3 linked regions of the Macaca fascicularis genome follow. The protein of the gene in region 3 purifies or fractionates together with the protein of the main gene of each other region. This does not show direct contact. Links are inferred from orthologs where the notes say so. Each region holds a gene or a part of one and is shown on either strand. Other genes may lie near its edges.

Evidence for each region.
Region 1: the proteins of TUBG1 (region 3) and LGALS3BP purify together in Homo sapiens (affinity purification with mass spectrometry; 3 studies listed by BioGRID and IntAct, counting the BioPlex papers as one, with this or other methods). This does not show direct contact. The link is inferred for Macaca fascicularis from reciprocal best matches to the Homo sapiens genes TUBG1 and LGALS3BP.
Region 2: the proteins of TUBG1 (region 3) and CCT3 purify together in Homo sapiens (affinity purification with mass spectrometry; 3 studies listed by BioGRID and IntAct, with this or other methods). This does not show direct contact. The link is inferred for Macaca fascicularis from reciprocal best matches to the Homo sapiens genes TUBG1 and CCT3.

What each region holds. Positions count from the first base shown.
Region 1 is NC_088390.1:85,383,744-85,387,489, reverse strand, and holds the start of LGALS3BP (galectin-3-binding protein), read left to right. Parts: upstream 1-1,516; 5' UTR 1,517-1,674; intron 1,675-3,746.
Region 2 is NC_088375.1:104,748,207-104,751,852, reverse strand, and holds part of CCT3 (T-complex protein 1 subunit gamma), read right to left. Parts: intron 1,904-3,646; coding exon 1,786-1,903; intron 1-1,785. UniProt on the Homo sapiens protein: Component of the chaperonin-containing T-complex (TRiC), a molecular chaperone complex that assists the folding of actin, tubulin and other proteins upon ATP hydrolysis.
Region 3 is NC_088390.1:63,667,293-63,671,038, reverse strand, and holds the start of TUBG1 (tubulin gamma-1 chain), read right to left. Parts: upstream 2,441-3,746; 5' UTR 2,386-2,440; coding exon 2,337-2,385; intron 2,015-2,336; coding exon 1,902-2,014; intron 1,700-1,901; coding exon 1,532-1,699; intron 65-1,531; coding exon 1-64. Other genes in the region: RETREG3 (reticulophagy regulator 3), read left to right, coding at 2,806-3,044. UniProt on the Homo sapiens protein: Tubulin is the major constituent of microtubules, protein filaments consisting of alpha- and beta-tubulin heterodimers. Gamma-tubulin is a key component of the gamma-tubulin ring complex (gTuRC) which mediates microtubule nucleation.

The sequences.
Region 1 (3,746 bases), about 22 Mb from region 3:
GTCTCACGCTGTTGCCCAGGCTGGAGTGCAGTGGCGCGATCTTGGCTCACTGCAAGCTCCGCCTCCTGGGTTCACGCCATTCTCCTGCCTCAGCCTCCTGAGTAGCTGGGACTACAGGCGCCCGCCACCGCGCCCGGCTAATTTTTTGTATTTTTAGTAGAGACGGGGTTTCACTGTGGTCTCGATCTCCTGACCTTGTGATCCGCCCGCCTCGGCCTCCCAAAGTGCTGGGATTATAGGCTTGAGGGCATCTGAGTTTTAAAACATTTCCCAGCACTTCTCAGAGGTGCCTTCCTGTCCTCGGCACTCCTGTGCTTCCCTGGCCACTCGGGCAGAAGTCATTAGCGCTGCTGAGAAGGGATGAAGCTGGGGTTTCTGTGCACCGAGGCCCTTAATCCGGATGAGATTTTTTAAACTCCCCACAGCCTGCTATGCCAGTTCTATTTCCAGCTGCATCTGCCCCTGGGTCTTCACAGCTCCTCTGGAGGGGATTAGGCAAACCATGCAGCTGCCTATAACCTCACATCTTGAGGGAAATAGTCATTGAATCTCTGACCTCTGGGCTGGCTGTCTCGGACTCTGAGCTGCCAGGGAACCAGGACTTTCCACCCGGTGGGACTGCCTGGGGGCTTTTGAAATGCCCCTGCCTGTCCCCCACTCCCGGAGATGGTGACTTCCTGGGTCTGGGCATTAGGAGTTTGTAAAACTCCCCGATGATTCTTCTGTCCAGTCCAGGCTGAGAACCACTGGTCAGAGGCCTGGGCACATCCCAAGGCTTGTCCAGAATCACGGAGTGCAAGTGACAGAAACAAAAGAGGCTGCTGATTGCCTCACTGAGCAGGTGAAGCCCAGGCTTGACCACTGATTAGGCCAGTTGGACCCAGGAGTTCAGGCCGGAGGATGCCTGCTTCCCTCTGCTCTGTCCCATGGGCCCCAGCAGCCTGGGCCCACATCCTCTCAGTCGGAAGCCGGCTCTCACCAGCTGGCTGGGCTCACAGCCCCACCCTGAAACCAGTAGTGTGGCCCGGGGGGCCCCGCAGGGCTCAGACACCCAGGCCTTGGGTGGTTGAAGGCCAAGAGCTGGGGGCCGTCTGGGAACCACACAGCCTGGAGTGGGAGGGGGTGCTCCTCAAGGGACAATTGAGGCGCTGGCTTTCAGTGGGAGGAAAGGGAATGGCTATGAGCTGGACAGAGCCATTATGTCACCAAGAGAGGCTCTGTGCCCCGGCACCAGGTGCAGACTGTCTGGGCCCAGAGCCTCTGCTGCTTCCCCTCCCGTCCCCCAAACACCAGCCCCTGGCCAGCCTGGCGGCGTTTCCGACTGAGTGTGGCTGTCAGTCCTCTTGCGGGCCTTGCTCCAGCCAGACTCCCGCCTTGGGCCTCTGCCAGCCCGGCACTGATACCCACGGGCAGAGCTGAGACGAAGGAGAGGGCCCCTGGGGAGTATCCGCAGCAGCCAATCCCAGAAGACATCGATGTCAGGTGGTTTCTAGAAATCGAAAGTAGACTTTTCTGAAGCATTTCCTGGGATCAGCCTGACCACACTCCACCCTGGGAGAGGCTTCTGGGTCAAAGGAACAGTCTGCAGAGGGCTCTTGTGGCTGGAAGTGACGGGGCTGCAGCACAGCCATCGCAGCTGCCCCAGCCAGGTAAGCTGCTGCCTCCAGCTCCCAGGTGGGCACCTCTCTCTCTCTCTCTCTCTGTTTTGTTTTTTTTGTTTTTTTTGTTTGTTTGTTTGTTTTTTGTGACAGGGTCTCACTCTGTCACTCAGGCTGGAGTACAGTGATGCTATCTCAGCTCACTGCAGCCTCCGCCTCCCGGGTTCAAACGATTCTCCTGCCTCAGCCTCCCAAGTAGCTGGGATTACAGGCACGCACCACCACGTCCAGCTAATTTTTGTATTTTTAGTAGAGACAGGGTTTCGCCATGTTGGCCAGCCTGGTCTCAAACTCCTGACCTCTGGTGATCTACCCGCCTCGGCCTCCCAAAGTGCTGGGATGACAGGCGTGAGCCATCGCGCCCGGCCAGGGCACCCCTCTCTCTACACAGGCAAGTGGGGGTCATGCCTCCCTGTTTGCACATAGGCCTGGAGCTGGGGATCCAGGGCTCCTGAGCCCAGCAACAGTCATTGCTGCTCCCAGGCCCACAGGACCTCTGTGTGCAGTTGGGCAGGTGGCACGAGGATACCAGCCAGAGGGCGAGTGGGTTAGAATCCAGGTTGGCCTCTCTCGGGCCTGTGCATTTGGCCTAGGCCTGCACCCACTCCTAGGAAGAGCACCTTTTTTTCTGATTTGCATGAAGGGGGCAACACAGGCAGCCGGGTCTCAACTCCCCGTATGAAGGAATCAGGCAAAAGTCCCAGCCGCTGCCACCCAGAGGGCGGAACGCCACCTGCCAGGTGCTTCGTTGCCCACTTTTTTTTTTGAGACGGAGTCTTGCTCTGTCACCCAGGCTGTAGTGCAATGGCTCACTGCAACCTCTGCCTGCCAGATTCAAGCAATTCTGTTGCCTCAGCCTCCTGAGTAGCTGGGACTACAGATGCGCACCACCACGCCCAACTTCTTCTCCTTCTTCTCCTTCCCCTTCTCCTTCTTCTTTTGTATTTTTAGTAGAGGTGGGGTTTCACCATGTTGGCCAGGCTGGTCTCGAACTCCTGACCTCAAATGATACACCTGCCCCAGCCTCCCAAAGTTCTAGGATTACAGGCGTGAGCCATCGCGCCTGGCCACTTGGCCATTTTTCCAAGGCCCTGAGTTACTCTCCCAGGACGGACAAACCTGGTGGCTGCAGCGGAGTGAAGTGGCTGGGTACAGAAGTGGAGAGGGCGTCCACCCATACCGGCGTGCCTGGGACTGAGGGTTTCCCAGGACACAGGGAAACTTCAGTGCTAAAACAAGCACAGTCCCCAGCACACAGGACAGGCAGTCACACCCTGGTGTCTTTAGCCATCTACTGACATTGACGCAGGGAGGAGAGGTGGGCTCCACCGAGCAGACCCCCTGCCTATGGCTGTGGACGTGGAGCCCATTTACCTCTCTGGGTGTCAGCTTCTTCACTTGTAAGGTGGGGTGTAACTAAGGTGGTTCTCAAGGTCACGGTAAGGCCTCCAGTGGTACCTGGGGAGCCCTGATAAGGGGTGGCTGCGCAGTGCCAGTGAGCGTGAGTCCCAGAGCAAAGCTCTCACCAGCCAGGGCACCCAGCTCCCAGGGTGCTTGTTCATGCAGACTCCCATGCAGAGGGGCTAGGGCGAGGCCAGCCATGACAGCACTTCCAACAAGCTCTGGCGATGCCATTGCAGCCGTCCACCAGGCCCCCTCTGAGCAGCCTCAAGGTCACCAGGCCCAGACTCCCAGCCGGTGCCCACAGCAGTGCCACCCAGAGGCCTGCCCCTGGCTTGCTGAACTGAGGGGACAGTGTCACAGGATTCTTACCGAGCCAGAGAAGCCATACCTGTCTCTCCATTGGCGGGGTGTGGGGGAGGGAGGCAGGCGAAGACAAAAGCGTGGAAATTACACGGAGGCAAGAACACCAGGCCAGAAGGCGGAGACCCGGACCTCCCCAACCGCAGCCTGAGTGTCAGTGTCTTGGGGATACTTCAGCATTTCCTCCCCGTTCTTCCCCCAGCATGGCCCACCCTGGGCTGCAGCCCTGACCCTTTTCCCCTATCTTCCCCATCCGAACACCATGGAGCCCCGATGTGTCTCCTTGCTGCTTATCTGTCACCCCGGCCCAGCCTCCGTGGCCTC
Region 2 (3,646 bases), on a different chromosome or scaffold from region 3:
CTCCACACAATAAAATCTCTAGGTACCTCTACATTCTCACAGAGCTTACTGCATAAAAATAATTAAACACTTCATTCCTTAAGTGTGCCAGACAAAGATATTAGTATACAACTTGTTTAAGAGCAGGCAGTATATGGCTGGGCACGGTGGCTCACGCCTGTAATCCCAGCACTTTGGGAGGTCAAGACAGGTGGATCACCTGAGGTCGGGAGTTCGAGACCAGCCTGACCAGCATGGAGAAACCCCGTCTCTACCAGAAATACAAAATTAGCTGGACGTGGAGGTGCATGCCTGTAATCCCAGCTACTTAAGAGGCTGAGACAGGAAAATCGCTTGAACCCGGGAGGCGGAAGTTGTGGTGAGCTGAGATCGCGCCATTGCACTCCAGACTAGGTAACAAGAGCAAAAACTCCATCTTAGGAAAAAAAAAAAAAAAAAGCGCAGACAGTATAATATAAACCTCACCAAATTACTAAATACTTATGCATCTAGTGACTCAACCATATGAGTAGAACATTTAAATAAAGAAAAGAAAAAAACAAACAAACTATTTCCAGTCAGGCATGGAAAAAAGAATACATTATCGATTTTTATTTTTTTTTGAGACAGAGTTTTGCTGTTTGCCCAGGCTGGAGTGCAATGGCGTGATCTTGGCTCACCACAACCTCCGCCTCCCGGGTTCAAGTGATTCTCCTGCTTCAGCCTCCTGAGTAGCTGGGATTACAGGCGCATGCAACCACGCCTGGCTAATTTTTGCATTTTTAGTAGAAATGAGGTTTCACCATGTTGGCCAGGCTGGTCTCGAAATCCTGACCTCAGGTGATCCACCCACCTTGGTCTCCCAAAGTGCTAAGATTACAGGCATGAGCCACCGCGCCCAGTCCAGGTCTTACTTTTTATTTTCTTGAGACAGTCTCACTCTGTCGCCTGGGCTGGAGTGCAGTGGCACAATCTCAGCTCACTGCAACCTCCTGGGTCCAAGCAATTCTCCTGCCTTAGCCTCCTGAGTAGCTGGGATTACAGGCACCTACCACTATGTCCAGCTAATTTTCTCCACTTTTAGTAGAGACGAAGTTTCACCATGTTGGCCAGGTTGGTCTCTAACTCCCGACCTCGTGATCCGCCCACCTTGGCCAAAGTGCTGGGATTACAGACAGGCACGAGCCACCGGGCCCTGCCAAGTTTTACTTTTTAAACAAAAATGTTTATTCAAGACCTGCTCTACATGACTCCACACGATGTTAAACCTTAACTAAAATTCTCTGAAGCTAGAGGTAATATATGCTTTTTTTTTTCTTCTGAGATGGAGTTTCACTATTATTGCCTCGGCTGGAGTGCAATGGAGAGATCTTGGCTCACTGCAACCTCCGCCTCCTGGGTTCAAGCAATTTTCCTGCCTATCCTCCCGAATAGCTGGGGTTACAGGTGTGCGCCACCCATACCCGGCTAATTTTTTTTTTTTTGAGACAGAGTCTTGCTCTGTTACCAGGCTGGAGTACAATGGGGTTCTCTCAGCTCACTGCAACCTCTGACTCCTGGGTTCTGGAGATTCTCCTGCCTCAGCTTCCCGAGTAGCTGGGACTACAGACATGTGCTACCATGCCCAACTAATTTTTTGTATTTTTAGTACAGATAAGGTTTCACCATGTTGGCCAGGAAGGTTTCGATCTCCTGACCTCATGATCCACCCACGTAGGCCTCCCAAAGTGCTGGGATGACAGGCATGAGCCACCAATTCTGGCCAGTATCATATTTGATACTACCTATTTCTTGCCCCCAAGATACCTGATTTTCTTTAGGGTGCTGATCATATCATCCAATGCCTTGCGGTAAGCACTGATCACCACTGTTGGGTGCATCTGCTGCTCCAGGAAGTGCTCAGCTACAGATAGCATTTCCCCTGCTGAAAAAGATATAAGCACCACAGTAATATTTAAAAGTATCTGGATAACAAGGCAAGTAACTTCATTATTCTTCCAAAAAATACTCTCCTAAATCAGACTCTCCCAAAAGATATGACATTTGGCCATTCATACTATTCCAAATTTTACACTTTGTGTAAGACAGGGCAATTCATACAGAAAACATCCTTGCTGTCCATTTTTTAAAAGACCAGGCTGGGCATGGTGGCTTATACCTGTAATCCCAGAAATTCAAGATCAGCCTGGGCAACATAGTGAGACCCTGTCTTTACAAAAAAAATTAAAATTTAGCTTAGTGTGGTTGTACGAGCCTGCGGTCCCAGCTACTCAGGAGGCTGAAGTTAAGAGAACCACTTGAGCTTGGGAGGTTGACAGTGCAATAAGCCTTGACTGCACCACTGCACTGGGTGACAGAGTGAGACCCTGTCTCAACAAATAAAATGATGAAAGAATGATTCCAGGGCTTACTTACTCTCTTTATCTTTTTAGTTTTTTTTTTTGAGGAGTCTCGCTCTGTCACCCTGGCCGGAGTGCGGTGGCGCAGTCTCTGCACACTGCAACCTCTGCCTCCCAGGTTCAAGCGATTTTCCCGCCTTAGCCTCCCAAGTAGCTGGGATTACAGGCATGCACCACCACACCCAGCTAACTTTTGTACTTTTAGTAGAGATGGGTTCTACTATGTTGGTTGGCCAGGCTGGTCTCGAACCAGGTGATCTGTCTGCCTTGGTCTCCCAAAGTGCTGGGATTACAGGCGTGAGCTACTGCACCTGGCCTTCTCTTGATCTTTCTAAAAAAAAATTTCCCTAAAGGCAATAAAATAAAAATGCACAAAAGAAAAACTGACTTGTTTATTAGTACCTTAATACCTTAGGATCTAGTCAAACTGCTGGAACTAAAAACAAAACACACAAAAACTTACATTTGAAAGAATATTCAGGGTTGGATGCGGTGGCTCACACCTGTAATCCCAGCACTTTGGGAGGCTAGGGTGAGTGGATCACTTGAGCCCTGAAGTTTTTAGGCCAGCCTGAGCAACATAGCAAAACCCTGTCTCTACAAAAAAAATTCAATTAGCCAGGTATGGTGGCATTTGCCTGTAGCTACTTGGGAAGCTGGGTTGGGAAGCTCATTGAGCCTAGAAGGTCAAGGCTGCAGTGAGCCGTGATCACGCTACTGCACTCCAGCCTGGGCAATAGAGCAAGATTTTGTTTCAAAAAAAGAAAAAGTTAAAATTTAAAAATGTGCACAATTAAGGCTGGGTGTGGTGGCTGACGTCTGTAATCCTAGCACTTTGGGAGGCCAAGGCAGATGGATTACCTGAGGTCAGGAGTTTGTGACCAGCCTGGCCAACATGGTGAAACCCTGTCTCTACTAAAAATACAAAAATTAGCCGGGCATGATGGCAAGTGCCTGTATTCCCAGCTACTTGGGAGGCTGAGGCAGGAGAATCGCATGAACCACGGAGGTGGAGGCTGCAGTGAGCCAAGATTATGACATTGCACTCCAGCCTAGGTGACAGAGTGAGACTCCATCTCAAAAAAAAAAGAAAAAAAGGCCGGGCGCGGTGGCTCAAGCCTGTAATCCCAGCACTTTGGGAGGCCGAGACGGGTGGATCACGAGGTCAGGAGATCGAGACCATCCTGGCTAACACGGTGAAACCCCGTCTCCACTAAAAAATACAAAAAACTAGCCGGGCGAAGTGGCGGGCGCCTGTAGTCCCAGCT
Region 3 (3,746 bases):
GACTATCACTACCATCTGCCTCCCGGTCTATGATGTCAAAAATGTCCTCGTGGATCTTTTCTCCCTGTACAGACATAGGGGAGGGTCAGAGTGGGACAGAACCACGGGAGGACTCCGACCTCAGAAAAGCCACCCTCAATTCTCCTTATAGCACCCAGGAGTCCTTTTATGGAGTACAGCTGCCTGCTTTTTATCTACATTGAGAGGCGGTACGGTGCAGTGGTTACAAGAAAGCACTCTACACCCAGACTACCTGGGTTCATACATTAGCTCTATTTTTTTTTTTTTTTTTTTTTTTTTTGAGATGGAGTCTCTCTCTGTCTCCCAGACTGGAGTGCAGTGACCTGATCTTGGCTCACAGCAACCTCCACCTCCCGGGTTCAAGTGATTCTCCTGCCTCAGTCTCCCCAGGAGCTGGGATTACAGACACGTGCTATTTTCTGTATTTTTAGTAGAATCAGAGTTTCACTATGTTGGCTAGGCTGGTCTTGAACTCCTAACCTCAGGTGATCTGCCCGCCTTGGCTTCCCAAAGTGCTAGGATTACAGGCATGAACCACTGTGCCCGGCCCATTAACTCTACTTCTATGTAGCTCTGGGCAGCTTATTTAATTGCTCTATGCCTCAGTTTCCTCATCTGTACAATGAAGGTAATAATACAGGTCCATATACCCTTATCTAACAGTGTTGGGGCCAGTTATATTTTGGAATTCAAAATATTTCAGATTTTAGAAAGTTATTACAGTATATATAATATATATTAAATAAAATTCCAGTGGGAGTCAGAAGCACGTTAATCACACATATTAGTATTTCTGTAATAAAAGGCATCAGTAATGACAATAAGTTGGATAGAAAGTATGGGGCCGGTGCGGTGGCTGAGGCCTGTAATCCCAGCACTTTGGGAGGCCGAGGCAGGCGGATCACGAGGTCAGGAGATCAAGACCATCCTGGCTAACACGGTGAAACCCCATCTCTACTAAAAATACAAAAATTAGCCAGGCATGATGGCAAGCGCCTGTAATCCCAGTTACTCGAGAGGCTGAGGCAGGAGAATCGCTTGAACCCCGGTGGCAGAGGTTGCAGTGAGCCAAGATCATGCTACTGCACTCCAGCCTGGGCAACAGAGTGAGACTCCGTCTCAAAAAATGATAATAATAAATAAATAAAAAAGAAACCGCCTGTCTTCATTGAGATTTGTTTTTGCTGCTGAACTAGTTATGAAATGTCCTTTGGTTTCATGGCTTTCTGGATCCTGGAAAGGCACATAAGGGACTGTGGACCTGTAGTACTTACTTCTAGGGTGGTTGGGAGATTTAGAAAAATTAATATATGTAAAGCACTTAGAATGGCCTGGCACACTGCATTAGCTAGCATAGGCGCTTGACAATATTACATGGTCCACTCCCTGCAGCCACGTCTCTCCCTCCAGCATTCATACATCCCTGATCTGGTTTCCTCTCTCCCTGGGACGTCATAGGGCCTGTCCCTACCCAGGGAGTTGTGGGCCCTGTCAGGGAATAGGAAACGACCTGGGAGAATCCACTGGCCCAGTTGTTGCCAGCTCCTCCTCCATGCTCCGACAGGTAGATGTTCTCTGGGTTGTAGAGCTTGGCATAGGGGGAGTTGAGGATGGAGTGGATCACCCGGGGCTCCAGGTCCAGCAGCACGGCCCGGGGGATGTAGTGCTCATCGTCTGCCTGTCAAGGGGAGTCCAGGAGGGGGCCCAATCAGCTAGGGTGGCCCAAGTCCTAAGTCCTCCCAACTCTGGCTCCCTCCAGCCCTCCCTCCTCAAGCCAGCCGCCTGGCCCCACTGCCCAGCAGGGTTCCCAGTACCAGGCCACTCCCTTCCCTTCTGGCCCCTCGGGCCATTGCCGCCCTTGGCCAAGTCGCTGGGGGCACCTGGTAGAAAAAGACGTCCTTGCGGTCAGTGCCTTCGGTGGCGAACTCCTCCACGATGCCCTCGGGGCTGATACCATGCTCAGCGCACAGCTGTTTCCAGAACTCGAACCCAACTGGGGGGGAAGGGGCAGGCAGGGGAGAAAGAAGATATCTAGTTCCGGGCAGGTTCCAGTCAGGAGCGGAGGGACTGGGCGCCTGCGTCCAGGAATAAGAAGTCAAGCCGTAGGACTCTCCCGTGTCTGAGGAAAGGACTGTACGCCAGGGACAGGGCAGGGGAGGGCCCCTCGGGGCTGGGCAAGTGGACACTGGGTCAGGGATGTCTCGCCTTTCAGAGAACTACGATTCTGGCAAGGACAGATGGAGTCCAGGATCCTACAGCGAGATCACATTGACCCTAAGGAACCTGGCTAGCTGAGGGGCCGGAGTTTCGCTCACTCTGATTGCCGCACTGGCCCAACTGTAGGGTGATGATTTCCCTCGGCATCGCTCCTCAGGCACCGGCGTTGCAGCCGCTCCCGCCCGCAACGCCGCCGCACGCCAGCCCGCTCGCCGCAAGACGCAGGCGCGAAACAACAAGCTCCACCCACGACCTTCATCCGCTCCAATGAGAACCGAGTTCTGGCAATGAATGGCATGTCTTTAAGCACTGGCCTTCATTCATGCAGATTGCGCGTGCGCGGCTTCTGATCGGGCTCTGAGCCGACAGATCAGGTTCCGCGCCTCAACGATGGCGGGGTACTTTGACTCGGCGTCCTCCCTCCCCTCTGGGTAGACGCCCGCTTGGGCCTGCGCGCAAGCGCGCTGTGGTGCGAAGCGGCCTCCCACGCCGAATCGCGCATCTGCGCAGTTGCTGTTATTGTGACTGTCGGGCCACGGCCCCGGATGTTGTGGCTGCCGGGGGGAGATGGCGGAGGCCGAAGGGGTGGCGGCGACCCCAGGCCCGGCTTCGGGGTCGACTTTCAGGGGCCGCCGAGATGTGTCAGGCTCCTGGGAGCGGGACCAGCAGGTTGAGGCGGCGCAGCGGGCCCTGGTCGAGGTGCTGGGGCCTTACGAGCCTCTGCTGAGTCGGGTGCAGGCAGCCCTGGTGTGGGAGCGGCCAGCCAGGAGCGCCCTGTGGTGCCTGGGGCTGAACGCGGCTTTCTGGTGAGAGAACTGGACCCTCGGAAACCCTCCGAGTCCCGAATTCGTCGGTTCCTCTAGGGCTGTACTCGCCTGCCCTGTTTTCTTCGCTGCACTGGCTCCTTCCTGTACCTGCCTAATTTTGCCTCACCTCTTTCCACTCCATCTCGCCTGCAGGCTTGGGCACCCCAGTTCTTCCCAGGGCCGTCCACCCGTCTTCTCTGCCTTACCGGTGCCCGCACCTCCGCCGTGCACATCTGGCGGGAGCTTCTGGTAACATCTTGAGCCGCTCAAGAGTGAGCTAGGGCGCCTCTTTTGAGCCCGGGAAAGCTGCGTCCCTTTAAAGCCATCACTTCCTTTCTCTTGTCTGCTCAAGTGCAAGTTCTAGATTGTTTCCAGAGGTTTTAGTAGTTGTTGTTGGAGTACAGGCGTGAAGTCTTGCAAAGGTATCCATAGGTGTGATTTTAAAACAAGCTTGAGCGATTCGCATGAATTAGCATGTTGTATATCTAGGAAGGAAGTTTATGAAGTCTGAGCGTCAGTGTGAGCCCCCAAAGCTGAAAATTGAAAGAAAAGTACAAGCTTTTAAAGAACAGTTAGGAAATGACGGAGATTTCACCCGTTTCAAAGCCACCTGTGATTGTAACTCCTCCCTGTTCCAAGGAATTAGAGAGGCATCCTTAGCCATTGTTTATAGGCAAAGAAATTGAGGATGTCCAATAGTGT